7 linked regions of the Xenopus tropicalis genome follow. The protein of the gene in region 5 purifies or fractionates together with the protein of the main gene of each other region. This does not show direct contact. Links are inferred from orthologs where the notes say so. Each region holds a gene or a part of one and is shown on either strand. Other genes may lie near its edges.

Evidence for each region.
Region 1: the proteins of csnk2b (region 5) and rps6ka3 purify together in Homo sapiens (affinity purification with mass spectrometry; 5 studies listed by BioGRID and IntAct, with this or other methods). This does not show direct contact. The link is inferred for Xenopus tropicalis from reciprocal best matches to the Homo sapiens genes CSNK2B and RPS6KA3.
Region 2: the proteins of csnk2b (region 5) and ccnl1 purify together in Homo sapiens (co-immunoprecipitation; 3 studies listed by BioGRID and IntAct, with this or other methods). This does not show direct contact. The link is inferred for Xenopus tropicalis from reciprocal best matches to the Homo sapiens genes CSNK2B and CCNL1.
Region 3: the proteins of csnk2b (region 5) and hirip3 purify together in Homo sapiens (affinity purification with mass spectrometry; 4 studies listed by BioGRID and IntAct, with this or other methods). This does not show direct contact. The link is inferred for Xenopus tropicalis from reciprocal best matches to the Homo sapiens genes CSNK2B and HIRIP3.
Region 4: the proteins of csnk2b (region 5) and supt16h fractionate together in Homo sapiens (co-fractionation; 4 studies listed by BioGRID and IntAct, with this or other methods). This does not show direct contact. The link is inferred for Xenopus tropicalis from reciprocal best matches to the Homo sapiens genes CSNK2B and SUPT16H.
Region 6: the proteins of csnk2b (region 5) and nkapd1 purify together in Homo sapiens (affinity purification with mass spectrometry; 3 studies listed by BioGRID and IntAct, counting the BioPlex papers as one, with this or other methods). This does not show direct contact. The link is inferred for Xenopus tropicalis from reciprocal best matches to the Homo sapiens genes CSNK2B and NKAPD1.
Region 7: the proteins of csnk2b (region 5) and zc3h4 purify together in Homo sapiens (affinity purification with mass spectrometry; 3 studies listed by BioGRID and IntAct, with this or other methods). This does not show direct contact. The link is inferred for Xenopus tropicalis from reciprocal best matches to the Homo sapiens genes CSNK2B and ZC3H4.

The regions. Positions count from the first base shown.
Region 1 is NC_030678.2:43,846,682-43,850,611, reverse strand, and holds the start of rps6ka3 (ribosomal protein S6 kinase alpha-3), read left to right. Parts: upstream 1-1,130; 5' UTR 1,131-1,448; coding exon 1,449-1,511; intron 1,512-3,930. UniProt on the Homo sapiens protein: Serine/threonine-protein kinase that acts downstream of ERK (MAPK1/ERK2 and MAPK3/ERK1) signaling and mediates mitogenic and stress-induced activation of the transcription factors CREB1, ETV1/ER81 and NR4A1/NUR77, regulates translation through RPS6 and EIF4B phosphorylation, and mediates cellular proliferation, survival, and differentiation by modulating mTOR signaling and repressing pro-apoptotic function of BAD and DAPK1.
Region 2 is NC_030681.2:115,976,745-115,980,935, forward strand, and holds the start of ccnl1 (cyclin-L1), read left to right. Parts: upstream 1-1,391; 5' UTR 1,392-1,992; coding exon of another isoform or gene 1,993-1,999; coding exon 2,000-2,092; intron 2,093-2,240; coding exon 2,241-2,345; intron 2,346-2,969; coding exon 2,970-3,111; intron 3,112-3,448; coding exon 3,449-3,548; intron 3,549-4,191. UniProt on the Homo sapiens protein: Involved in pre-mRNA splicing. Functions in association with cyclin-dependent kinases (CDKs). Inhibited by the CDK-specific inhibitor CDKN1A/p21. May play a role in the regulation of RNA polymerase II (pol II).
Region 3 is NC_030685.2:5,180,814-5,183,026, forward strand, and holds part of hirip3 (HIRA-interacting protein 3), read left to right. Parts: coding exon 1-80; intron 81-283; coding exon 284-1,560; intron 1,561-1,859; coding exon 1,860-2,019; intron 2,020-2,143; coding exon 2,144-2,213. UniProt on the Homo sapiens protein: Histone chaperone that carries a H2A-H2B histone complex and facilitates its deposition onto chromatin.
Region 4 is NC_030677.2:142,081,602-142,085,101, forward strand, and holds part of supt16h (FACT complex subunit SPT16), read left to right. Parts: intron 1-858; coding exon 859-934; intron 935-1,447; coding exon 1,448-1,617; intron 1,618-2,702; coding exon 2,703-2,832; intron 2,833-3,500. UniProt on the Homo sapiens protein: Component of the FACT complex, a general chromatin factor that acts to reorganize nucleosomes. The FACT complex is involved in multiple processes that require DNA as a template such as mRNA elongation, DNA replication and DNA repair.
Region 5 is NC_030684.2:74,728,978-74,732,477, forward strand, and holds part of csnk2b (casein kinase II subunit beta), read left to right. Parts: intron 1-134; coding exon 135-250; intron 251-2,229; coding exon 2,230-2,305; intron 2,306-3,500. UniProt on the Homo sapiens protein: Regulatory subunit of casein kinase II/CK2.
Region 6 is NC_030683.2:84,671,412-84,675,443, forward strand, and holds the start of nkapd1 (uncharacterized protein NKAPD1), read right to left. Parts: upstream 2,801-4,032; 5' UTR 2,677-2,800; intron 1-2,676.
Region 7 is NC_030684.2:77,131,088-77,135,297, forward strand, and holds the start of zc3h4 (zinc finger CCCH domain-containing protein 4), read left to right. Parts: upstream 1-1,410; intron 1,411-1,675; coding exon of another isoform or gene 1,676-1,725; coding exon 1,726-1,797; intron 1,798-2,274; coding exon 2,275-2,376; intron 2,377-4,210. UniProt on the Homo sapiens protein: RNA-binding protein that suppresses transcription of long non-coding RNAs (lncRNAs). LncRNAs are defined as transcripts more than 200 nucleotides that are not translated into protein.

The sequences.
Region 1 (3,930 bases), on a different chromosome or scaffold from region 5:
CCTAACTACCAACGCTGGCAGGGGTCCCTAAACTTTCTTACATATGAGTCACAGTCAAATGTAAAAAGACTTGGGGAGCAACACAAGCACCATAAAAGTTCATGTAGGTGCCAAAGAAGGGCTAAGATTGGCTATTAGGCAGCCTCTATGCACACTATCAGCTTACAGGAAGCTTTATTTGGTAGTAAATCTTGTTTTTATTCAACCAAATCTTGCCCCCAAGTCAGGAGCAACAATAAAAAGTTGATGCGCAACATATTGGTTGGGGATCCCCCTTGCTCAAGTGTGGCATATTTTCACAAAACATCTCATATTTACTAAAAAATCATAAGTACAAATTTTCTTTTGGCATAAGTACTCTTTTAAAGCATTGTATTTTCCCTGTACAATTCTAGTGGTTAAAATTTGCTAGAGAATAAATGACATGTGGGATATTAGCATGGAAGAGATAACATAGAAAATGAGATGCAAAGTGGCCAAGGTGTCATTATAATGGAAGTTTGCTAGCCTAAACCTGGAGCCATTTCTCTTGGCTAGCATTCGTTCCTGCGCTATTCATAAATTGGCAAATATTTCACACTAGAAAAATTTTTACCTTGGCGAAATGAGGTTAATGTTTTGTTTCGATTCACAAACAATTATAATCCTTTATAGTAAATTGCCAACGTTGTGGCAAATTTTTATTTTCGGTAACAATATGCCAACCTCTGTAAATATGCCCCTATGTAAGAGATAACACGCACAAATTGCGCAAGGTACAGACTGCCGGAGAGACATCCTGCGAGAGAAAGAAAGCTGTCACTCACAGAGAGAGAGAGAGACCGGAGATATTACATTTATAGAATAAGCACTGCATTTCCCTTACATCCACTGAAGGCATGAGCAAAGCTTACATGAGCTACAAACACTGGCCAAATCTTTCTTTATCGAAGGAGTGTAAAAAGGCATGAATCTGTATACAAGAACGGAAGTCAAGGCTGGGAACCGGGGCTCACCCACCCATATACCCACCCATATACCCACACATATACCCACACACAACCACGACACAGCGTCTAGCTGAAACCTTATTCATTTGCGTAACCGGAGACTCATCTAACATGGGAGGGCAGGCATTCCGCCTATGACGCAATTTTACCCAGAATCCTCTTCCCCCGACTGTCACCTGTACTCCGAACTGAAGGGAGGGGAAGGCCGCCCACTGCATGTGACGTAGGGGTGACGCGCACCGTGCCTTGCTGCGAGCGGCAGGTACCGCTGGGGACGCCATGTTGTGAGAGGAAGTAAAGATCTGTGTGAGTGAGAGAAGGGAGAAGAGCTGTGCTGGAGTGGTTCTGGCTTGCCGCGCAGTACCGGACAGCTCACGGTGACTCTAGGGGGGCGGACTGGAGCTCGGTCACTTTGGTGATTTTTGGGGACAATTGCTGGAATCACATCGGGTTGAAAAGATGCCGCTGGCGCAGCTGGCAGACCCGTGGCAGAAAGTGCCGGTGCAGAAAGTGGGAAGCGAGGTAAGATACAAATAATGGAAGGTGCGGGTATCTCGGCCAGAGAGAGAAGGGGACACAGTCCTTTCACAGGGAAGGGTTCCGCCTGATCGGCACTTATCTCTTTCCATCCCGAATGAGTATGAAAGTGTGAGTGCTTCGGGCTATCTAGTTCGGGCAGTAGTACAGACTCCCTGGCACTCCAGCTTCAACTTTTAGCAGCTCCGTTTCTTACCAGCTGCGTTTCTGAGAGGATGCTGGGAGTAGTAGTAACACAATAGCGGGAGTGCCAGAACATAACTATCTCTGGGCTGTTTAACTCTTTCCATCTTGCAGCACTCACTGACAGCTCTTGGTGGGGAATGCCAAGTAGCAATTGAGTTACAGGGGAACTCCACGCTGAAAATGTTTTTTTTTTGCATAATAATAGAAAATGCTATTCTGAACAACTAACTAATATACATTAAACGTTTTAGTTAAAAGTTATTTTCAAGCATAATTGCTATTGAAAACGGAATCCTTTGCCTTTCTGGTTCTGACTCCAGCTCCTTAACAAACCTGGAGAGTTGACCTGCTACATTGTTTCAACAGTCAGAAACTGATAACATTAAGAGATGTCTATAAAGCCACTGAAAATGTTTAATGTAGAATGGAAAGTTACTTTTGGGTGGGGTTGCCCTTTAAGGACCTGGAGGTAGTGGATTTAAGACGCATTTATATTTTTAGTTCTTTTCTTTTATGTGTTTTTGTCTATTTCTTATTAAGTAAGAGTTCAGCCTCCTATAATATTGTGTGAAGCCATAGAATTAGTAATGTACGTTATAGCTAAATTGGTTATTGGATAACAAATTGCATGTATATGACCCTAGAATTCCAGCCCTTTCTCGGAATGTTTACATTCTATTAATAGAATCTCATTAACCCTCTAAATAATTCTCCACATTATTCATAATGGCTGAAAGAACTGGTAGAAAACTGGCAGCAAATGGCAGAATGTAGCCATGTACAGGTCTGTACTTGTCTCCCCTGCCTTTGGAAACCCACCCCTACCTTTTATAGTTAGTGATAGACCAAGTGGGGTTTATTTTGTGCCATTCACTAAAGGGCAGTTAGACCAAATAAAAAAAATTGTGCTAGTGCACGTATTTATGCCTTGCAACAGGAATGTTTCTGTAGATAAGAGGCTGCAAGAGACTGGCATTTGTAGGTTTTGTAATGTGCAGATGTGGGCAATTAAGACATAAGCTCTGTTGTAAATATAGAAGGACGAAGGGAGGTGTCTTTCACTTTATACTGCAGGGACTAGAAGTGAAATGAAGGAAAGCACACAGGGCAGTGCCTGATAGTGTGCAAGTGAGCAGAGCAAAGGTACTGCGCTGCAGGTAAAGGAGATTTTAGAGATTCAAGGTTGAATGACTAATTGAGGGCTAGGAAAGGAGTGACGATGTGACAAAGTGCTGGCAGCCAATGCCGTTCAGTAATTTGACAGGAAGCGTTCCAAGATAATTTGGCAAGTTTAATACTCATTGTCTTTATAAAACCTCCAATTTAAGGCATGGCGCATACGTCTGCCTTACAGTTTAATTACACACACATATCGGTTCATTTGGGATCAGTTGTTCCTGTTTGGGTAGTGTGTTTGATATATAGAACCTGGCTTTATAATTTATATGTTTAACATTTGAAATCTTGTACATCAGCAGCTTAAGCTGTATGCTCATCTGTTTTATATCCAAAACAAAGGAAATGGAACAGAATACATTGTATCTTTGCACCTGTATTTATAAATATAGTGTGTATCATTTCTAGTAAACACAAACATATTTCTCAAAAACCACCTAAAGGGGTAATGCACACTAAAGACTCAGATTATTGGTATTGCTGCATAGCCCACGCCACCTCTAGCGGAACCTAGGAAATCATCTTTTAGTAACTGGTGGGAAGCTGAAGCACTTCTAGTATTTGTGTGTTCTTGGGTGTACAGGAAGTCCCTAAATAAACTGTCTCTTGCCTCTTCCTGTGCATCAATCTTTGCTCTCTTCTTAGTTGTCTCTGCAGTCACTTTTGAAAGCTACAGAGCTGGTTTGGTCAGTAAAATTACTGTGATTTTCTGGAAAGCTTTCTATATTTTATATGCACTCTGGGTTGGGGGTCTCAAATGTAAATATGCAAATATTTTTTTTATATATATAATATTTACAATTCACAATGCAGATTCCATTGAACAATATATTGCTAACTAATTACTTATGTGTATGCACGCAAATTTCTCTTTTTTTCTATTGCTGTTCTCATTCTTTTACTGAGCCAACAAAATATTCTATTCCTGACCTTTCTCTGACGTTTTTCTCCTTATTCCTCTGTAACCTGATGACCATTGCTGAATGTATTTGCCACCAAATAGGGAATTCTGGGATGGAGGAGGCAGCATTTCTAAGCAAAG
Region 2 (4,191 bases), on a different chromosome or scaffold from region 5:
TAGTAGCACACAACTGATATACATACTAGCTTTTTAGATATAACAACCGTAAGGAGCAGGCAAGTAGTCTCATGCATTGAACCGAGTACTAAAGCCTGTCTAGAAATGCTATATTTTATATACTGAATTTACTGTGCTAGCCAACACATTATTGGCCAATGCCTTCAAAATTTCCTCATCAGCTCCCCATCTTAATTGTCAGTGGCACTGCACATGCTCTTTTTGTGGGCTGCGGTTGAGAAACTAACAGGGTGTCCATCATCTAAGAAGCAAAAAGAGGTTTTTGTGTATTGTGAGTTGGTATCTAAGGTTAGGTAAGTGTCAGGATCCCAGAGCATACTGTGGGAATCTGCAGAAAAGATGGGGAGTTAACGGGGGCAAGTTTGTTGATTTATCTACACTGCTAAACAGCTGTAGTCACCTTGGGCTGCTAAAGAAGAAAAACATTTATGGCCTAATTCTTCATTGAGCTTTATTTAAAAGGGAACTATTGGGAAAAAAAAGAGCTTCATCTTGTGGAAACAAGGAACTTTATAGATAAATTAAATTAAATATTCAGTTCCATTTCTAAAATAATTGTAATCGTTCCCCATCGCCCTCTTGGCAGTCTCTCTACACAGGAGTCAGTTTGTGATTCACCTAGATAGTGTATTATGTTTTCAGACATAAAACTGCAACTCCAAGTTTCTTCAGTCAGATTATGCTTCTAGTAAATTTGCATTTATGCCTTACCTTCCTGTTTCACTTTTTTTGTGGGTGGAAAGGCATTTTGGGGTGATCAGTAGCACTGCAGTGATCTCATCCCTGACCAAAACTGAGTGTCTGGACTGCACAAATGCACATTACAGATGCTGAAGGGGTAACACCCACTTCGCTAATACTTATAATGTACATGCACTCTGTCCAGGCACCCAGAAACCAGCACCATTTCATCTTTGTTATATGTGTATATTAAGCTCCTGTTGAACAGTATATTTGCCCCCTCAAAAGTACATGAAAATGTACATTATCACTTTATGCAATGATGACTGTTAAATGATAATTGCATTTATTTTTGTGCTTAGGTTTTTATTTTCACAGTTCATCAGCCTCTGCATACTTGCATTTATACAATCAATATGTCAATTTGTTTTTTTCTGACCCATTACCACTTTGTAGGTTTTAGGGGAAACCTGAATGTGTCAAAACATTAACATTGTAACTGGATTCTTTTAGGCTCCTAATATATTTTGTGCTTAATTTCAGTTGTAAAGATGATCTATATGTCAGGGAATTACACGTGCACAGCAAATATGCTTGTTGACACCTTTTTGTAAACTTGATTTTATTATAAATATACCCTTTGTATTTGACTTCTGTAAGGGTTTAGAAAGTAGTATCATTTTATTTTAGGTAGAGAATTTAAAGCAATTGTTTGCAAAAATGCTCACCAGAAAAAGGCTATTTATATTATACATAGAACTCTTTTTATTTTTTAGGACATTTACATCAAGTGAACTAAATTTAAATAATTCAGCTGTGTATTAGAATTATAAACACAACCAAAGTACACTCTGGCTTCTACCCTTTGGCCATTTTAGATCCAACTGAGGTGACTTTTATTCCAAGCTTTACCTGAGAGGGGGTTAACATGGGGCTTACACCCTTACAGAGCGAGTTGGATGTGGCTGGCATATATCCATAGAACAAACTTAGCATCTATGTGGAAATGACTTTCCCTTGGGCATCATATTAGATTCAGGTGACAAGTTTGTGCCAAATCGTCTTTTAGATCTAGAGCCCTGTGTGCCTTTTTCTCTGGTAACTGGTAAAGTGATGCCTCTCAGCTACAGCTCAGCTCTCAAGTGTTTATAAACTCTAAGACACACATTGAGGAGAAGAAGCATTATATATTGAAGCATTAAACCCTGACTGGTTGTGCTTGTCTTACTTCCCTGGTCCCCCAGAAGAGAAAACCCTTTGTAATATTTCCACATGATTTCTGTTTTTCAGGAATTACATGAATGATTGCTTACGGACCAATGTATTTGTACGGTTTGAGGCAGAAACCATTGCCTGTGCGTGTATTTATCTTGCTGCCAGAGCTTTGCAGGTAAATTCTTCTCAATGTTTACAGAATGTTTGATCATGTGATATCACTAAATTGTGTGTTTTTATAATAGTTTTATTACTGTACAAGTTGTTTTTTTATAACAGACCTTGAAAATGCTGTCAAACTAAAGATTTGTATTTGCCTTTAGTTACCCTTGCCAAATAGACCACACTGGTTTTTACTTTTTGGAGCTACTGAAGAAAACATTCAAGATATCTGTATAACCACTTTAAGGCTCTACACCAGGAAAAAGGTATTGTCTGTTTATTGGCATGCTCACACAAGTAGCATCAAGAATTGCAAACTTGCTTTAACTGGCATACTGTTAATTATGTTTAAAGCAATCGATTTGCAATAATCACCCACCCCTGCCAGTTTGGTGCCATTGTTTTTTAGTGCAACTTTACCTGGTGTTTAAAGTAATTCACAAGCTAAGTTGTTTTTTTTAATCAGAATTAAAAAGTGCAATATTTACTGATTATATATATTTCAGTTTGGTGAGATTCTTTAATAGGTCACTTAATATAAGCTGTTTTGTGAAGTATTCATTCTGGGGGTATAGTTTTCCTTTAAAGGACAAGGACAAAGTCAGGTCAGAGGAGGCAATTTTTGAGGCACCTTCTGGTTTATTGTGGTGTTTCATAGAACCATTGGCACAGAATTTTATATGGTGCCACCATTCATTTAAAGGAGGAGTCCACTTGGGGCCTTACAAATTGGCCCTTCTGACTTTCTGAGCTTTCCTTATTCTTTAAAGTAATTCACAAGCTAGGTTGTTTTTTAATCAGGGATTAAAACGTGCAACAACAAAAACAACTAAATGTAAATATTGTATCAATTTAAAAAAACTACTCTAACTACACTAATTTCCTAACAGCCGAACTATGAATTTTTGGAAAAAGAAGTAGAAAAAAGGAAAGTAGCCCTACAGGAAGCAAAATTAAAAGCAAAAGGGCTGAATCCCGATGGAACTCCAGCTCTTTTATCAATAGGAGGATTCTCTCCTGCATCTAAACCATGTGAGTTGATTTGTCTATACGTGTTCTATAACAAAACTGGGTAAATGTTCCTTGGCTGTATCAGTGAGCAGTCCTCTCCCAAGCCCAGTACCTAGTTGCCAGGTTAGGGAGTTGCATGTTTATAGCACTCATTCTGGTTACACTTCTTGTTACATGAAGGGATTTTTGACTGATGAAATGACATACGTTTATTTTAAAAATGTATTGTTAAATATGTGACCCCATTTTTTCTAACATTCCAACCCCATGTAGGCTTCTGTCCCATAGACTGAGAAAGTGCTGTTGACCTCTTTTATGTATTGTTAATTAGACAACTGTTTCTGCTTTCCATTTTTAGCATCTCCAAGAGATGTGAAAACTGAAGACAAATCCCCGAGTTCAGCAAAAATTAAGCGGGAGATTGATGACAAGCAGTCTTCTAAGAGCCCCTACAACGGGTAGGCTGGTCTCCATGGAATTATAATGTTTTTGGTACTTGGGGGTGACTTAACATTACACTGTGAATGTTTTTGTGCTAAAACTCCCAATTTTTCAATTATGGTTAAAAACTTGAATGTTCAATATTTATACAGTGGATATAAAAAATCTACACACCCCTGATAAAATGTCAGGTTCCTGTGCTGTACACAAATGAGACAAAGATAAATCATTTCAGAACTTTTTCCACCTTTAATGTGACCTATAAACTGTACCACTCAATTGAAAAACAAACTGAAATCTTATAGGTGGAGGGAAGAGAACCAAAAAAACTAAAATAATGTGGTTGCATAAGTGTGCACACCCTCTTCTAACTGGGGATGTAGCTGTGTTCAGAATTAAGCAATCACATTCAAAATCATGTTAAATAGGAGTCGGCATACATCTGCCATCATTTAAAGTGCCTCTGATTTACCCCAAATAAAGTTCAGCTGCTCTAGTTGGTCTTTCCTGACATTTTTTTAGTCACATCCCACAGCAAAAGCCATGGTCCACAGAGAGCTTTCAAAGCATCAGTGGGATCTCATTGTTTAAAGATATCCGTCAGGAGAAGGGTACAAAAGAAATTCCAAGGCATTAGATATACCATGGAACCCAGTGAGA
Region 3 (2,213 bases), on a different chromosome or scaffold from region 5:
GAAGAGAGGCAGAGAGATTCCTGAACCTGATAGTGAAGGGGGCAGAGAGCCCCCAGGGAAGAAACGGAAGCCCACAGAAGGTAAGGGAGACTGGGGTATGTCCCAGCTGAAGCCCACCATGAGCAGTCTCATACAGGTTCTTATGGGGTATCTGTAAATGAGCTGCTGTTCGTGGTGGTAGTACAGGGGCTCATATAGTAGCCGTGTGTTTGGCCCACTGGCCAAAGGGTCAGATTCCGTAAGGTATGACCGCCTTTATGGTAATAAGCCGCTTATATTGCAGGCCATGCTTCTGATGAGGAGGATTCTGGGATTGAACCCTTTGTGAGCGACCGCAAAAGACTGTCTGGCAGTTCCTCTGAGGCGGCAGCTGTTGAGAGACAGACTGCGAGCAGGTCGGAGAAGGAAAAGAGATCACACAGCAAGAGTAATGAGACCGAGAGTGACAGTGATTCCGAGGGGCCGAGCCCACCACGAAAGAGACCCACCAAAAAGAGTAAGGTGTCCGACAGCAGTGGCACAAAGGGAACAGTAAAGAAAAAGCCATTGGAGGAATCCAACAGTGATCCACAGGCCAAGCCAAAGTCTGGCAAACAGGGGGCTTCTGGGAAATATCAGAAAGGTGGGAGGGAGAAGAAGCCAGCAAAGAAGGGAAAGAGAGCGCCTAGCGTGGGGTCAGACAGTGAGAGTGGAACAGAAGTGACAGACACCAGGCAAAAGAAAAAGCCAAAGCAGGAGAGAGACAGTGGGAGTGAGGGAGAAAGCAAAGTAAAGAAACCTGCACAGAGGAGAAAGGAGAGCGCAAGCCCCAAGAGAGCGCCGCAAGGCAAAGAGCCAGCAAAGCGAAGGAATAAAAAAGAGACAGACAGTGAAGAAGAGAGCGATAGTGATGAGGAGGAGGCAGTCGAAATGGACTCTTCAGACAGTCCCAGTAAGAATGAGACTGGTAGCAAAAGAACAGCTGGCAAATCAAAGGGCTCGGACAGTGAGGATGAAGCAGAAGAGACAGACACCAGGCTGGAAACCGACCGTGAGAGTGAGGAAGAGAGCAAAGCTAAGAGAGCCAAGAGTGCAGGGAGCGCTACACTACAGAAAGGGGGAGAGAAGGTAAAAGCAGCGCAGAAACGGAGAAAGGCCGATAGCGAGGGAGAGAGCGATAATGGCAGGAGCCAATCTGAGAGCGAAGATGAGATGCCTAAAAAGAACTCTCCGAAGAAAGAGACAGACAGCGAGAGTGCAGAGAGCAGTGCTTCCGAGAGAGACTCCGATAGTGAGAGTGAAAAAGAGAGCGCAGGACAGAAGAAAAGGAAAGCGAATGGGCGCAAGGCCAAGTCAGATAAGGAAAGCGGCAGTGCCAAGAAAAGGAAGAGACAGCCAGACAAGAAGGAGGAGACAGACAGCGAGGATGAAGATAAGGAGAAAGGAGAAGGTGCCAAGGACAGGGAGTCTGGTGAGGAATCGGCCAATAAGAAAGAAGAACCAAACGATGGTGGAACTGAGAGCGACTCCTCTGTGGCATCTGATGGCGACAAGGAGAAAAGCAGCAAGAAGCAGAGTAAGGTGAGCTGTGCCACTCCTGTGCCCCCCCCATGCTGGGTATCCCTGTGCCCCCCCTGCCATATCTGCACTGGGGATCCCCGTGGCACCCCCCTGCCATATTCCATACCCATATGAAGTGTTATATGGTGCCTGATATGGGCTAAATATGAGCATTACCTTTAAAGGGGAACTAAAGACTTCTCACAAAGATTCTGTTTCTCAAGGAACAAGTATATCCTTAGCCTTTCCAACTGACCCTGAGCCCAAATCCTTCCCTGTATCTGAACTACACGGCCTGACTTCCATTTTATCCCCCCTAGAGTTCATCCCGGGAAGACCACCCCTCGGTGGCGCGGCTGAAGCGCTACATTGTTGCCTGCGGGGCGCGTAGGAACTACAAGAAGCTCTTCCAGGACTGCCGCTCGGTGAAATCCATGGTGCAGCTCCTGAAGAACGAGCTGGAAGAGTTGGGGGTTAAAGGTGAGGGTACGGTGGGGGGATGACTTACCTTGCTGGGGCTGGAGGTTGGGCAGAAGGGGGTGGGCACAGAGAGTGGTGGGGTGAATGGCAGCTGCTCATAAGAGGCAATGTTTGTTCCGCGCAGGGCAGCCATCACTAGCCAAGTGCCGCATTGTTAGAATGAAGAGAGAGGAGGCAGCAGAACTGGCGGAACT
Region 4 (3,500 bases), on a different chromosome or scaffold from region 5:
GCCATTAGTCTTGTTGGTCTTAAATCACTCCAGTATAGCTTTCACTGAGTCTGGCTAAAAGGTGAAGCTCCCTCCCAGTCTCAGGTCTCATGCTGACTGAAACAGGCTTTTTCTTTAGAATTTCCTTTTATTTGACTGCGTCTATCCAGAGCCAGGTAGGGTTTGGTAGTTTACAATTTAAATTTTGGTCTTATCCGAGCAGAGAACCTTTTGCCGTGCTTGCTGGTTTTCTTGCATGCCTTTTGGCAAACTCTGAAAGGATTTTCATATGGGTCTCTAATTGATGGCTTTTTGTTTGCACAGTTTAAAGCTGGTTACCATCAGCATTTGACTAGTTACCCTTTTACCTGGTCACCAAACCTTGGAGAGAGCTTTCTCTAGGCTGACTCACAGTTGTGCTATTGATTTAGTGGTGCTCCAGGAATTTTATTTTAGACCCTGCTATTTTCCAGAATTTATTCTGGATACTGACACATGATACTCCTTGGTCTTAATGATGCTGTTTTTTCAAATATGTGTTTACACTTTTAAATGCATAGTTGGACTTGAATTAATTTTGTGATGTCTGAAGGCAGTTAGTTGCTCAAAGCTTATTTAGGGGTTTTGTAAAGGAAGTGAATTCTAATGGAGTCTTAGATGCTTCCATTTATTTTTTAATAAACTTATGTAGACTTTGTATTCCACTATGGACTGTTTTACACCCTGGATTTAATGCAACAAAACGTAGAAAATACAAAGCATTACATACTTTTCAACTTTTCATGGATTGGTATACGTACAGTGACTAGGGAAAACCATAAACCTAAGATTAAAACTTTCAGGCAGTTTTGGGCTGAGTTTTATTTTTTTCCATAATAGGTTCAATGGAGCTCCATACAGAAGCACCTGCCTCCTTCAGCCCACCAGCAGTGCACTGGTAAACACCACAGAGTGGGTAAGTTTAATCTTCTATATATACTGTAGTAAGTCATTTTGAATGTTGTAGTTTAAGAGACATTTAACAGTCGTAATAGAAAACTTTTAAAAGAAGAATACCTCCCAGTATTTAAAAAACTGAAAGGAGGACAAAACAAACTGCTGTAGCTGTAAAAGTATAGGCCGCGCCAAATAAAAACAAATAAATCCTAACCCTAACTCACATCCTTTTCTTCCGAGTGTCCTGCTCTTTTATTGTTGAATTTTCATGCCTTTTTACCAGTTATATTCAACTCCCAGCCTTTCCCCCCTCTGTGGTTTTTAACATTTTTTTTTCTTATTTTAAGTGTTTAGATTCTTGAGAACTATCCATTTTTTTTCTTCAGTTATTGCATCTCAAACATAGTTGTGGTCAATTGATCATTTTTTTTCTAGATTGTTTGATGTATGGCTTAAGTGGTATATAGATATAGCCCAAGCACTTGGATAAATAGGTTACCATTTCTAACTGCTGATTTTTCTTTTCTCTCAGCCCCCATTTGTTGTTACGCTTGATGAGGTGGAGCTTGTACACTTTGAGAGAGTGCAATTTCATCTTAAAAACTTTGACATGGTTATTGTTTACAAAGAGTACGGCAAGAAAGTCACCATGATTAATGCAATCCCTGTGGCTTCACTTGACCCCATAAAAGAATGGCTTAAGTAAGTGTTTCATGGAATATGAAAGATGTAGTGCTGCTGTTAACACATTTTTCATGTATCTGTTAATCTGATTACACATGGTCCAGTAGTGGTTTATGTTGACTGTTACGTTCACACGCTATGCTCCAACAGCAGGTCTATTGGGATGTGGACAGCAGAGACTTCTCTGTGCAAAAGGACAGATAAATAATTGGGGTGCTGCTCTTGTGTGAAAGGCTGGTGATGCAAGGCATGGAACAACTGTATATGGACTGGGGGACATTTGGGCATTTTAATTTTATTTAGAAAACACTTAAATATACAGGGACACAAGAATTTTCTATTAAAATATCCCTTTTAATGTTTATCATACTGGAATATCTTTGCAACAAGTGACTTTTGAATACATGTCATTACTAGGTGTCTCTTACAGTAGTATAAAGCAAAGCAATAATAGGATGGTCAGGCAGCAAAGAGCCTCCATGTGCTGCTCCTGTCTTGGGTTGCTGCTTGATCAACCTGGAAATCAGTTCCTGTGTTTATTAGATTGATGCAAGCACCTTCGACATCTGCTTTATAAAATGATGTGTTTAATTTTTGCAGGTATTTTGGTTGAGAAAAGGCATGGGGGAAATTATGGCTGTGTACTATAAAAGAATAGAGCAGAACATTTGCTAGCTGAGCTTTAGTGCTTGGGGGACACACTTTAGTTTTTCAACTAGCCATAATCTTTACTTGAAAGATATATTGCTGTGGTGAGCAACTTATGTCATGATATACATAGACATGGTAGTGACGTCATTTCTGGTCACACAGGCAGGAAGTAAACATAGGGAGTGCACACGTGCTAGATCTGAGGGGAGTAAGGTCTATTGAAAATGGCAAATACTCCTAGGGGCATAAGAGAAAACCAGAGTGTGTTCTTCTCGCCATCTCCAATAGGAACCAGTCTCCAACATTATATTAAAGGTAATGAAAAAAAACAATAAATGTAATGGGGCATGGGGTTTAGAAAGGTTTTACTTGACCTTTAAGATACTGTGCTTATAACAGTTGTTAGTAACTTTACTTTTTGCAGTGTTCTCATTGAAAGCTTTCTTCTACAGCTCCTGTGACATTAAATATACTGAAGGAGTACAGTCACTAAACTGGACAAAAATTATGAAGACCATTGTAGATGACCCTGAAGGTTTCTTTGAACAAGGTGGTTGGTCATTTTTAGAGCCAGAAGGAGAGGTGAGTTTGGTGGTTGCATTTGTAATTGTAATTTATATTTTTGCATATGTAAAATAGTTTTTATTTATCCCAAGCAGATCTTTATTCTGGGCATACTGTATCTGTTCATTTTGCGAATATACTTTTTTTTTTTTTTTTTTGCCTTATTGGGGACAGGAGACAGGAATAATGAATTATATTTAGCTACCTATTTGCAGAAACAGGATTTAAAACTGAAGAAGGGTTTGGCTAAATTCTACCTCGTGTTGCCAGCTTAACCTTGCTTGCTAAGGGCAGCCTCCCTCTTTTTTTTTTTTTTTTTCTTTTTTTTTTCAGTTAGCAAATATGGCACACTTTAGTTTGGCAATGGTGGTGCCCAGGTACCATTCTTTTTTGCCAGCTTAAGGATATTGGCACACTGCATATATCTGCTTCTCAGCCCTTCGTGGGGTGGGGAGAAGCCTCCTCAGCAAAGGGCCACTTCCATAAACCCCCTTCGTTAGCACCCTAGGGCCAGGTACATTATTTGTTGTAATGCATGTTTCAGTAAGTTAACCTTACTAACCGCACTAATTATATTAAGTGATCCCTCTATTTAAAACTGTGTGTGCAGAAAAGTGAGTGGATTATGTGTTTTGATATAAACAAAAATTTGTGCACTCTACAATTTGTGTGCTGGACCCAAAACT
Region 5 (3,500 bases):
TGTCCATATTGAAGAATTGTTTCTAAGTTTACATTGAATATTGACATGCCCAGCTGTCCTTGCTTATTTATATGTGCAAACAATGGTCCCTTTTACACCAAATCTGTTTTTATTTCTCTGCTTTTCTCATGCAGATGAGGAATTGGAAGATAATCCCAATCAAAGTGACCTCATTGAACAAGCCGCAGAGATGTTATATGGACTGATCCATGCCCGTTACATACTGACTAACCGTGGCATTGCCCAGATGGTGAGAGTGTTGTTGATAATGATATTATTTTAGGCAGCTGTATTTTTAGTTTTTAATGTTAATGATAAAAATACTGCTGACTGGCTATTTATAGTGTTTCCAAATTCACTTTGGTATATGAAATGTTTAGAAGCATGCAGGCTCAAGGGGCACAGTTTTTACATGCTTATTTACCAGCAAGTTAATATCCACAGCAGTGCTTTCTGTAGTTACATTTATAATTAGCCCTATTTCCACAACGATTAGATGCAGAAATAATACTGAATTAGCAATTTTATATGTTTGTAATTAAGTATTCTGTTACTGATTTTTCCATGCATTAGCAATTTTATATGTTTGTAATTAAGTATTCTGTTACTGATTTTTCCATGCTTGTGGATTTAGAGTATAGGGAGAAGGAATTTCTCTAAGGGATGATGTGGGGGGGGGGCACAACCTGCAGTCTGTAGCACCATGGGGGGGTCATTATTTCAGATACCCATTCAAACCAATGAGTAGAGCTGCAGCTTTTTTGACTTTGATAGGGGTCACATGAGTTAATCAATTATTTGCTGGCTTACTCTGTATATTTTGGGTCACTCCCACTTGTTAGTAGCTTGTTCTCCCTAGAGTGATTGGGATTAGGGTATATGCTATTATGAACTGGTGCTGTCCTTCATGGTGTAATGTTAGAATGTTAGCTTCATTTCTTTGAGTATTTTATGCATTGACGACAAGGCACTCCATAAAGAGCAAATACCCTATCCGATAGAAACTGGGAAACTTTTGGTTGTGTATTTTTTTTTTTATAATCTTTTTTTTTATTGCTTTTAATGCAAACTAACAAAATAAAGCAGCTCTTCCTCCTTCCACCTTCGCTTTTGGAAGGACTAAGGACAGGCGTATGCGCAGTAGAGTGAAAAGCCGACTTCTCTGTTAAAGTTCGGTTTTTCACTCTACTGCGCGCGACGGAAGGAGGAAGTGCTGCAGGTAACCCGGGCTGGTGCTGTTCTCTCCTAACAGGGGCACCAGCCTGGGGTAGAAGGTAAGCGATTTAAGTCACTTGGGGTGCCTAACATTTTGGCACCCCCAAGTGACTTTGCCTTTCCTTCTCCTTTAAGATGCCCCAGTAGCTCCCCATCTTCTTTTCTGCTGATTCCCTGCACATGCTCTGTGCTGCTGTCAGTTACTGAGCATAGGGACCAACTCACAATATATTGTATATACAGAATAAAAATGTCACAATATATTGCAGATTAGTAATTTATTCAGATTCATAATACTTGGTAGCTCTGAATCCAGTGCAGTTAGCGTCAGAAATAATCAGCATCACCCTCTATGACAGGTGAACCTTTATTTTCTGCTTGATCATTTGTGACGACCCCTAAGCTTGGCTTCCCAACAGCTGCCCAGAGCCCACTGAGCATGTGTGTCACAGACCCTTTCCAAGATGGGGAGCTCCTGTGACAACTGTGAGATGCCCTATATATTTTTGGAACACTGACTGAATAGCTTTCCAGATGTTATCTCAGATTTCCCATCAGAAGCGTTCTGTATTCCTGAAAAGCATATGGTTTAGTGATAGAGCATCCTTGGGATTGGTTACATGCAGAGTTTGTCCTCTAAAATCAGAATGCTAGGGCTGCATTATGTACTTAATGATGCCGTCTCAGATATTCTGGCACATGTACTTCATATCAGTGCTGAATGGACAGTGATCAAACTTGGCTGGAACTAAATGTGCTTCAAGTTGCAATAACCTAAAAATAATTTTTGCTTCTACTTTTGCTTCTTTGCCTGAGCTGACTTAAAGTCTCTACCTAGAATTGGGGTATAACTTTTAGCTTTTTGGAAGTTATTTCATGTGAAAGACAAAGCAATACAGTTGTTAGATACTGTGTTTAATCACGGTAGTCACAATATTTTAACTACTACACTAATAACCTAAATAAAATTGTATTGTATTTCCTCAAGCCTGTTTTCTATGTATTTCTGTGCAGCTGGAGAAATATCAACAGGGCGATTTTGGCTACTGTCCCAGAGTATACTGTGAGAACCAGCCCATGCTACCTATTGGTAAGGATTGTATGGCAGTGCAAACAAATGATTTGCCCTAATTACTTTCTCTGTTTTTCCTCTTTTTTATTTTGGTCCTTATTCCTCTAAATTTTCAATTCTGCAAAATGTAGCAACAGGCATTTTGCGGGTTTTCACACTATTGTCCTAGCCTAGAGTACATATTCAGAGGCAAAAAATGAGCAGTGGTATATTAAACCAAAAAGGGATATTTATATTTTAATCAGGCTATTTTGCAGTGTTCTTGCAGACCCAAGAGCTATTTTCTTGTACTAAATAAAATACACATTTTTAAAAAAATTGGTTATGCATTATTTGTTGTGTAGGGTTTGTTTACTATATGAATTAAAAACACATATTGCAGGTTCCCCACTGCTGTTCCTGCTTCACTACTCATTACTGAACTGATCGGCAACCTTGTTAATGAACTCTCACTTGTCCCACCCCAATAACCTTCTACCGCACTGGGCAACGTGCACAGTAGCCCTGAAGGCAATGACAGTACAGTGGTTCCTGTACTGTATGACAAGCATGCCTGTCAATTTGTTAGCAGATGAAGGTGAATCTGCAATATGCATATAGTAAAGAAACCAACATCATAATCCATTCCAGTTTAGAAGCTTAAAGTGCACCTGTCATCCAGACATTAAAAGAGGTATAATAAAAGTCCTTTTCAAATTAAACCTAAAACCCACATTCATTTTTATAATTAACACATTCAAACCCATTATAAAGGCATTTAAAAATCCCAGCTGTCAGTCATATATTGCTTGCCCCACCTCTATGCCTTAGGCATAGAGGCAGGGCAGACAATAACTTTAGCTTTCTGTTCAGCACTACCTAGATGTCACTGCACATCTCACTTTCCCCCTCCCTCCTCATCATCTAATTGGGTAGCCAGTGCAAGGGCCTGGGTATCTGGTCCCCCATTCTGGTGCATAAACAAAATTTTGGCATGATACAAAGTCTTCATAACAGTGTTTACAAAATGGAGCCTGCCTGCTTGCTTTGATTGAGTTATTCCAAGACTTAAACAAGATTTATATTATTTATATAGCGTAAGTAAAGTTTATTTTGCTTAACTAACAATATAGAAAATAGTTATGTCTTAGGGTGACCGGTCCCCTTTAAGCAGTGACAATTCTTAGTAAACCACCCTTTTAAGAAAATCTAAATGAAAATGTTTTAGAAGATG
Region 6 (4,032 bases), on a different chromosome or scaffold from region 5:
ATCTGTGAAAATCCAACATAATTTATATTGCAGATCTTAAAGGAACAGTAACACCAAAAAATGAAAGTGCATAAAAGTAATTACAATATAATGCACTGTTGCCCTGCACTGGTACAATTGGTGTGTTTGCCTCAGAGAGACTACTATAGTTTATATAAACAAAGCTGCTGAGCAGCCATTCAATGCACATAGCAGATAACAGATAAACCCCCATTATATTCTACAAAGCTTATCTGTTATCTGCTACATAACCTGTGCATTTTCTTTTTTCCAGCCTGAATGGCTGCCCCGTGGCTTATTTAAATAAACCATAGTAGCGTTTCTGTAGCAAACACACCAGTTTAACCAGTGCAGTGCACTGCATTATATTTTAATTACTTTAAAACACCTTTATTTCTTAAGGCCCCCATACACGAGGCGATAGAAGCTGCCGATATCGGTCCCTTGGACTGACTCGGCAGCTTATCGGCCCGTGTAGGGGCAGAAACGAGGGGCCTGGCTGACCGATATCTGGCCTGAAATTGGCCAGATATCGATCGGCCAGGTTAGAAAATTCAGTCGGATCGGGGACTGCATCGGCTCGTTGATGCGGTCCCCGAACTGACTGCCCCATTGCTGCTGTTATAATTCGATCGTTTGGCCCCAGGGTGGGGATATCGGGTAAAGATCCGCTCGCTTGGCAACATCGCCAAGCGAGCGAATCTGCCCGTGTATGGGCAGCTTTAGTGTTACTGATCCTTTAAGGGCAGGGGTACTTGGGAGCTCAGTCACTAACAGATTTGTTAGACATCACTCTGACTGCACTCCAAGCAGTGCTTGCAGTGAGTACATTTGGCAAAAGACAGTGGCAGTTTCCACAAATACACTCTGCCACCCTGCAGATATACAGACTACATACATTTACACTCTGCCACCCTGCAAATATACAAACTACATACATATACACTCTGCCACCCTGCAAATATACAGACTACATACATATACACTCTGCCACCCTGCAGATATACAGACTACATACATATACACTCTGCCACCCTGCAGATATACAGACTACATACAAATACACTCTGCCACCCTGCAAATATACAGACTACATACATATACACTCTGCCACCCTGCAGATATACAGACTACATACATTTACACTCTGCCACCCTGCAAATATACAAACTACATACATATACACTCTGCCACCCTGCAAATATACAGACTACATACAAATACACTCTGCCACCCTGCAAATATACAGACTACATACAAATACACTCTGCCACCCTGCAAATATACAGACTACATACATATACACTCTGCCACCCTGCAAATATACAGACTACATACAAATACACTCTGCCACCCTGCAGATATACAGACTACATACATTTACACTCTGCCACCCTGCAAATATACAAACTACATACATATACACTCTGCCACCCTGCAAATATACAGACTACATACATATACACTCTGCCACCCTGCAGATATACAGACTACATACATATACACTCTGCCACCCTGCAGATATACAGACTACATACAAATACACTCTGCCACCCTGCAAATATACAGACTACATACATATACACTCTGCCACCCTGCAGATATACAGACTACATACATTTACACTCTGCCACCCTGCAAATATACAAACTACATACATATACACTCTGCCACCCTGCAAATATACAGACTACATACAAATACACTCTGCCACCCTGCAAATATACAGACTACATACAAATACACTCTGCCACCCTGCAAATATACAGACTACATACATATACACTCTGCCACCCTGCAAATATACAGACTACATACAAATACACTCTGCCACCCTGCAAATATACAGACTACATACAAATACACTCTGCCACCCTGCAAATATACAGACTACATACAAATACACTCTGCCACCCTGCAAATATACAGACTACATACAAATACACTCTGCCACCCTGCAAATATACAGACTACATACATATACACTCTGCCACCCTGCAAATATACAGACTACATACAAATACACTCTGTCACCCTGCAAATATACAGACTACATACATATACACTCTGCCACCCTGCAAATATACAGACTACATACAAATACACTCTGCCACCCTGCAAATATACAGACTACATACAAATACTGACTGATACAAGAGGTAAGATGCATCTTATAAACACAAATCCAAGACTTGGGGTAAAATATTATACAACTATACAATTTAGAGTTTCCTGGGAAAGCTCACTAGAGATGAAGGACATACAATGTACAGAAAGTTCCAAAACTTTTTTGTAAGTTAAAATATGTTGAAATCAAATTTGTGTATTGAAAACGGAAGGCAGCGATATTATGAACAGATTTTAGGTAACTTTGGGGAAAGTCACTGACATACTGGATCTTATGAACCCCCCATACACCCTCGCACGCTGAGGGACCCCCATGAGATAGTTGCTGCGCCCCGGCCTGTCTGTTGCTTATACTTTGCAGAGATGTGCAAACTAATGGCCAGTAACTGACTGTATACATATAAAAGACCGGGTGTAAATAAACTGACTTATAAGTCAGTAAAGAGAAGGGGCTAGGGGGCTGCCACCCCCACCCCCTGGATTAGGCCCGGGTACTTATATATTTTATCATTTATTTCTCCGCTAAGGAAAGCTGTGCCTCCCTTCTACCTGCTTCCCTACGAGCAGCCCGGGTATTCTCTTCAGCCAAATGCAGCAGCCCGGGCCCGTCCCTCGCTACAGCAGCCTGTCTGGGGCTCACCGCTTCCCTTTCCTACCGGAAATTCACATCATTTGGCTAGTATGATTAGGGAGGCGGAACGTAAGTAGCAGGTTTTCGCGTCCAGGGAGGGAAGGTTTTTAGTGCTGCACAGCTACTTGGTTTCTATGGGAACCGTGGAATCGCTAAAGAAAGCGCAAAGTTTCGTGTGAGTCCGGCTGGGAGCAGAGAAAGTGCAGGTTGGTGCCGATCTAATTGTCTGCACATCGTGTCCGTCTGCATTTGTCATCTTGTAATCGCAGTGCCCTACTTTGGTAATATTACCAATAGGAAGTATTCACTGCCAATGCAGACCTTCCATTAATATGTATGTACATTACCCCCTCTTATCAGCACGTAGCAATAACCTTGGTATAAGGGATATAGGGGCTGATCTAGGAGTAAAGGTTATGCTAAATTAAGAATAGCAGTTGCTTTTATTTTTTAAGTTGTACTAAAGCCTTTTCAAAACATTTGTCTGGTAAGTTTCTATTGTCAACTGCACTTGCGCAATTTAGCAGCATTGTTTGTAAATCAGCCTCATTGTCTGATATAAAACTCTGGAAATGAAGTACATGGTAAGGATTAATATAAACATCAGGATTTAAATGTATGTACATGTAGGGGTTTACCAAAAACGGGCCCTTAGGACAGGAACCCCTAGGACAGGCCACAGGGTGGTGCTGGGAAACAGGAACACTGGGATGACTGGGTTGTCAATAGTTAAAGGAACAGTAACACCAAAAAATTAAAGTCTTTTAAAGTAATTAAAATATAATGTACAGTTGCCCTGCGCTGGTAAAACTGGTAAGTTTGCAACAGAAACGCTACTATAGTTTATATAAATGAGCTGCTATGTCAACACGAGGGCAGCCATTGAAGCTGGGAAAAAGGAGAAAAAGCACAGGTTACATAGCAGATAACGGATAAGCTTTGTAGAATATAATGGGGTTTTATCTGTTATCTGCTAAGTAACCTGTGCCTTTTCTCCTGTAAATGGCTGCCCCCGTGGATACACAGAAGCTTTTTTTATATAAACTATAGTAGTCTTTCTAAGGAAAACACACCAGTTGTACCAGTACAGGGCAGCATTACACTATATAGTAATTACTTTTATACATTTTCATTTTTTGGTGTTACTGTCCCTTTAACAGGGAGTACACTTGTAGTTCGGGTTATGGCCACAGGGTGGTGCATAGGCCCATATAAGGGAAGCAGCCATGTGCTGTGGGAGAATGTTGGTTAGTCCAGGGACTGCTCCAGTAGTG
Region 7 (4,210 bases), about 2.4 Mb from region 5:
ATCAGTCAGACCCTGCCCAAGTGGAGCTTAAAATTTAAAGTCCATATCACATTCACAAACTATGGTAAATTTTATCAAGACCCAGTTAATCTGTCTGAATGTTTCTGGATTGTTGGGGGAAACCCAAGCAAGCATGGGCAGAATGTACATAAACTTTTCATAGCTTGTGCCTTGGATGAAACCTAGGCCCCCACCAAACATTGGAAGACATCAATGCTAAACTAAAATAGGGAAAGAAAAAAGTATGACCTACAGTGTTGCACCTTCCGCTCTTTCACATTGATAGCATATTTAATTACCCTGTTAAAATGTAACTTAAAGGATAAAAATAAATTGTGCTAAGACAGATTAGTGAAGCTAAAATTTACATTAAAAATCACGATTTAGACAAGGACCAACTGAAAGCCAACCTAGTAAATCAACAGTTAACAAGCTACCTATATACTATGAATGTAGCTGCTCTAAGACTGTGAATTTCTTCTTAGGTGCCAAATTATTACCTCATTATATGCCAAAAATTGGCATGTGATGAATATTAGGTTCTTGCCAGGATTAGGTGATAGGCTAGGGTAGCTTGGTCTGTGGGCATATTTGGGCATCTGATTATATAACAGGGCATTCTTATCTCAATAATGGGCCTCTCCCTGGCGATGCAATACCATCAGCAAAGCACCTATGCTTGCCAGCCCATATTACAAGTCAAGTCTGCCTGGGGCCACTAGGTAGCATCAACACCCTTCCACCCCTGCTACTAGCACCCAATCACCCCCTCAGTTCAACGTTGTAAAGTCCTGCCTAAACAAAACTAAAAAGCGCCTGACATGCTTTTTGCCCTCAACAAATAAGGGCTTTGTCAAAGGCAACGTGTTTGCATAACGCACGTCTATTTATAACCAAAGATAATTCAAATCAGCCAATGGAGATGTCAAACTAAGAAAAGTGGGCAGGCACATCTACATTCAAATTCGATAAGGTCACTGGCACAGGTGATGTTATCGAATTTGGATGTAGATGTGCCTGCCCACTTTTCGTAATTTTCTTTACCCTGCACAACCTCCTTTGTGGTATCTTTGGATCAATGGAAGGTGCTCCTCATCTTCAATATTTTTTGATCAATGCTAAGCTAATGAATCTAAAAGTTATCAACTCAACCTGTTTACAGGGCTTCATTCTTTTTCTAGCTGTTAGGTTAACAGTATGAATTAAGTTAAACAATTATGGAATTTCTGTTAAATAAAAACTAAAGAAACATTTTGAAAATGTAGAGACCTGCATTTTTATTACTCTGATATAATTGTGGATTGTGTTGCTTACAGTACTGTGAAGAAGAAGCAATGGAAGATGAAGAGTATGACGATTATTCCAAGGAACTTAACCAGTATCGGAAGGCAAAAGAGGGCAGAGGTCGAGGTGAGCTCTTGATAAGTCTTGTCACACAGTGATTGTTGACCTCTGAGTGTTTTCAAAGCTGTATGTAAATAGTGCTGCTGTGCACTGCTTTGTTGAAGCTGCTGATCTTACAACCTGAAGTTTTGTATTTTTTTTTTTTTTGTAATAAAGGAGATATTTCTTTGGAACACATGGACCGTTAGTTTAAAGTTTAAACCGCAGTTTAATCCATTACAGGTATTTGAAAGTGATGATCTTTTTTTTTTTTTTTTAACCTCCTTTACAGGATTTTATAGAGGCCGCGGTCGGGGCCCACGTGGAAGGGGATACAAAATCATGGGAAGAGGAAGAGGACGAGGCAGAGGAGGGAAGGGAAATGATGAGGATGAATACTATGAGGAAGAGGGTGTAAGTTATGTATTCAAGACATAAATCATAAAATCACAGGTTTTTTTTTCTAAATACATTTATATCATGCCTGTGATTGCTGTTCTATCTGTGTACAATATCAAAACTGAATGGGTGTTAAAATGCAGTTTCTGTCCTGATTTACTTAGTACTGATACATGGCAATGGACATTAAAAGTGTCAATTCACTGAAATGAGATGTGATTAATGAAGGTTCTGATGAGTTGTGCAGTTTGTGTGCCTTAGACTGCAGAGATGGTGCTTGTGTGTTAATATTAGAATAAGAACATTTAGGTCTTGTGGCAATTTTGATTGAATGGTAATATAGTTAATGAATACAGTTCTGTAGGCTAGAAAATTCTTCAGTTTTCATATTGTTTCAGTGGTCATTCATTACTTTTAACATTTATTTTTTTTTAATCAGCTTATTTCAATTAAGCAAACTGTATATTTCTGATTCTTTTTTTCTCATTCTAGGATGGAGGAATGTATAGAAATGATTATGAGAAGCCACACCATCGGGCTGATAAAAAAGGGAAAGTTGTCTGCAAGTATTTTGTAGAAGGCCGCTGCACCTGGGTAATGATTTTACTTATAGGCCTAATAAACTTATATAGTAGCACAGTAGATTAGCTAACTAGCTTACAGCCTATCAGACTGTTGTTTTGACCTACTTTCTAGTCTTCTAGCAACTTCTATGGCTTTAAAAGGGTTTAGTCATGGAAATCTTGATACTTTTTTTTATATGAGTGATGAATATATTGCATTGCTGTACACATGTCTAACTGGTTTATAAGATGCAACCTTAAAAAAGGTTTTTATTGTTTTCTCTTAATGAGGCGGCAAGTCTTTTCTCTGGCATGTCTGTGGGACACAGGAACCATAGGGTATAGCATCCACCACTAGGCACCACTAGACCCCAGCAGTGTGCCTTAGGTCAGTGATCCCCAACCAGTGACTCGGGCAACATGTTGCTCCCCAATCCCTTGGATGTTGCTCCCATCAGGGACCACATCAAAGAGCCAATGTGGCCCCTGATCTTATGGAAAATCAAACTTGCCTAATCGAGATCTGGCCAATTTCACGCCAGATATCGATGGGGTAGGCCTGTTGGGGGGCCCATACACGGCAGATAAGCTGCCGAATCGGTCTTAAAGAACTGATAACGACAGCTGAATTTGTCCGTGTATGGCCACCTTTAGGCCCAAGGACCTCTTATGCTCCTCCTGCACTAATCAGTCCTCTGAAGCACCTTTCCTTGCTCAGGATCTCCCTGCTCCCACCACAGCTCAAGCCCCTGTGGGGGACACCTCTCCTGTGCCTGCCCAGCCTTCTACTTCCATCCAAGATCCCCCCCATGTGGGCTCTGCAGTTGTCCACTGACATCCCTAAATTGGCAGCATGCCTAGACAAATTGCTTGATAGACTTGGGCCTAAGGCAGTAGACCAGGAAGAGGCAGGTGAAGATCTAAACAAATCCTTCTCAGAAACATTAGATAACCTAATTTGCACAGTCCTACATTGCCTTGATCTCAAAAACCTGACATCAACACCTGATTCTTCAGTCTCTGTTTAAGAGACAAAAGGAATCCTCTCTATTCCTTTCCATGCTCAATTGGGTAACATCATTCATGCTAAGTGGGACCACCCAGAGAAGGCCTCCTTAGATCAATCTTCACCACTTCAGGTGAATCTCTCTATCCTATCTTGGCCTCTGCCTGGGTCAGCAGGGCCTTGGTCTTGGTCCACTTTCCTCACAGAAGGTATCAATTCCGGCACTCCCAGACAAGAACTTCTGACTACAGCTCTACAGATTAATTAATGAAGCCAATGATTACATCTGCAAGGCAGCTCTTGATGATGTACAAGTAACCAGTTTTACCTCTGCTCTTTGGTGGCAACCCGGTGCACTCATCTAAGAAGTCCCTTACAAAGGGTAGCTCCTCTAGAACCCGAGCTAGATAAAATTATCAGTCAGGCCACAGGGGGGAAAACACCTTGCTACCTCAAACTTGGGTCCTGTACATCCTTTCCCGCTTTTTTCGTCCCTCCATATCTTCCAAGACTTCGACCTCGAGCCTGATCTTGAACAATCAGGGAGGCACCAGTAGGTGTGCACATGGTCAGTGGTATACATACCACGGCTAGGCAACTGGCAAGCTGACTACCTCAGGCAGCAGCTGCTAGATTCAGGAGAATGGTCTGTAAACCAAGAGGTCTTTCAGAACATTGGTGGGTCAACCACAGGTGGACCTCATGGTATCCAGACAAAATAACAAGGCGTCCTGTTTAATAGCCGGTTGCAAAGAGCCCTTGGCCCTGGCAGCAGATGCCATGACAATATCATGGGATTTCACCCTTTCAAATGTGTTACACACCTTCCCCCAAACATCCTACATTCCAACCCAGGTGT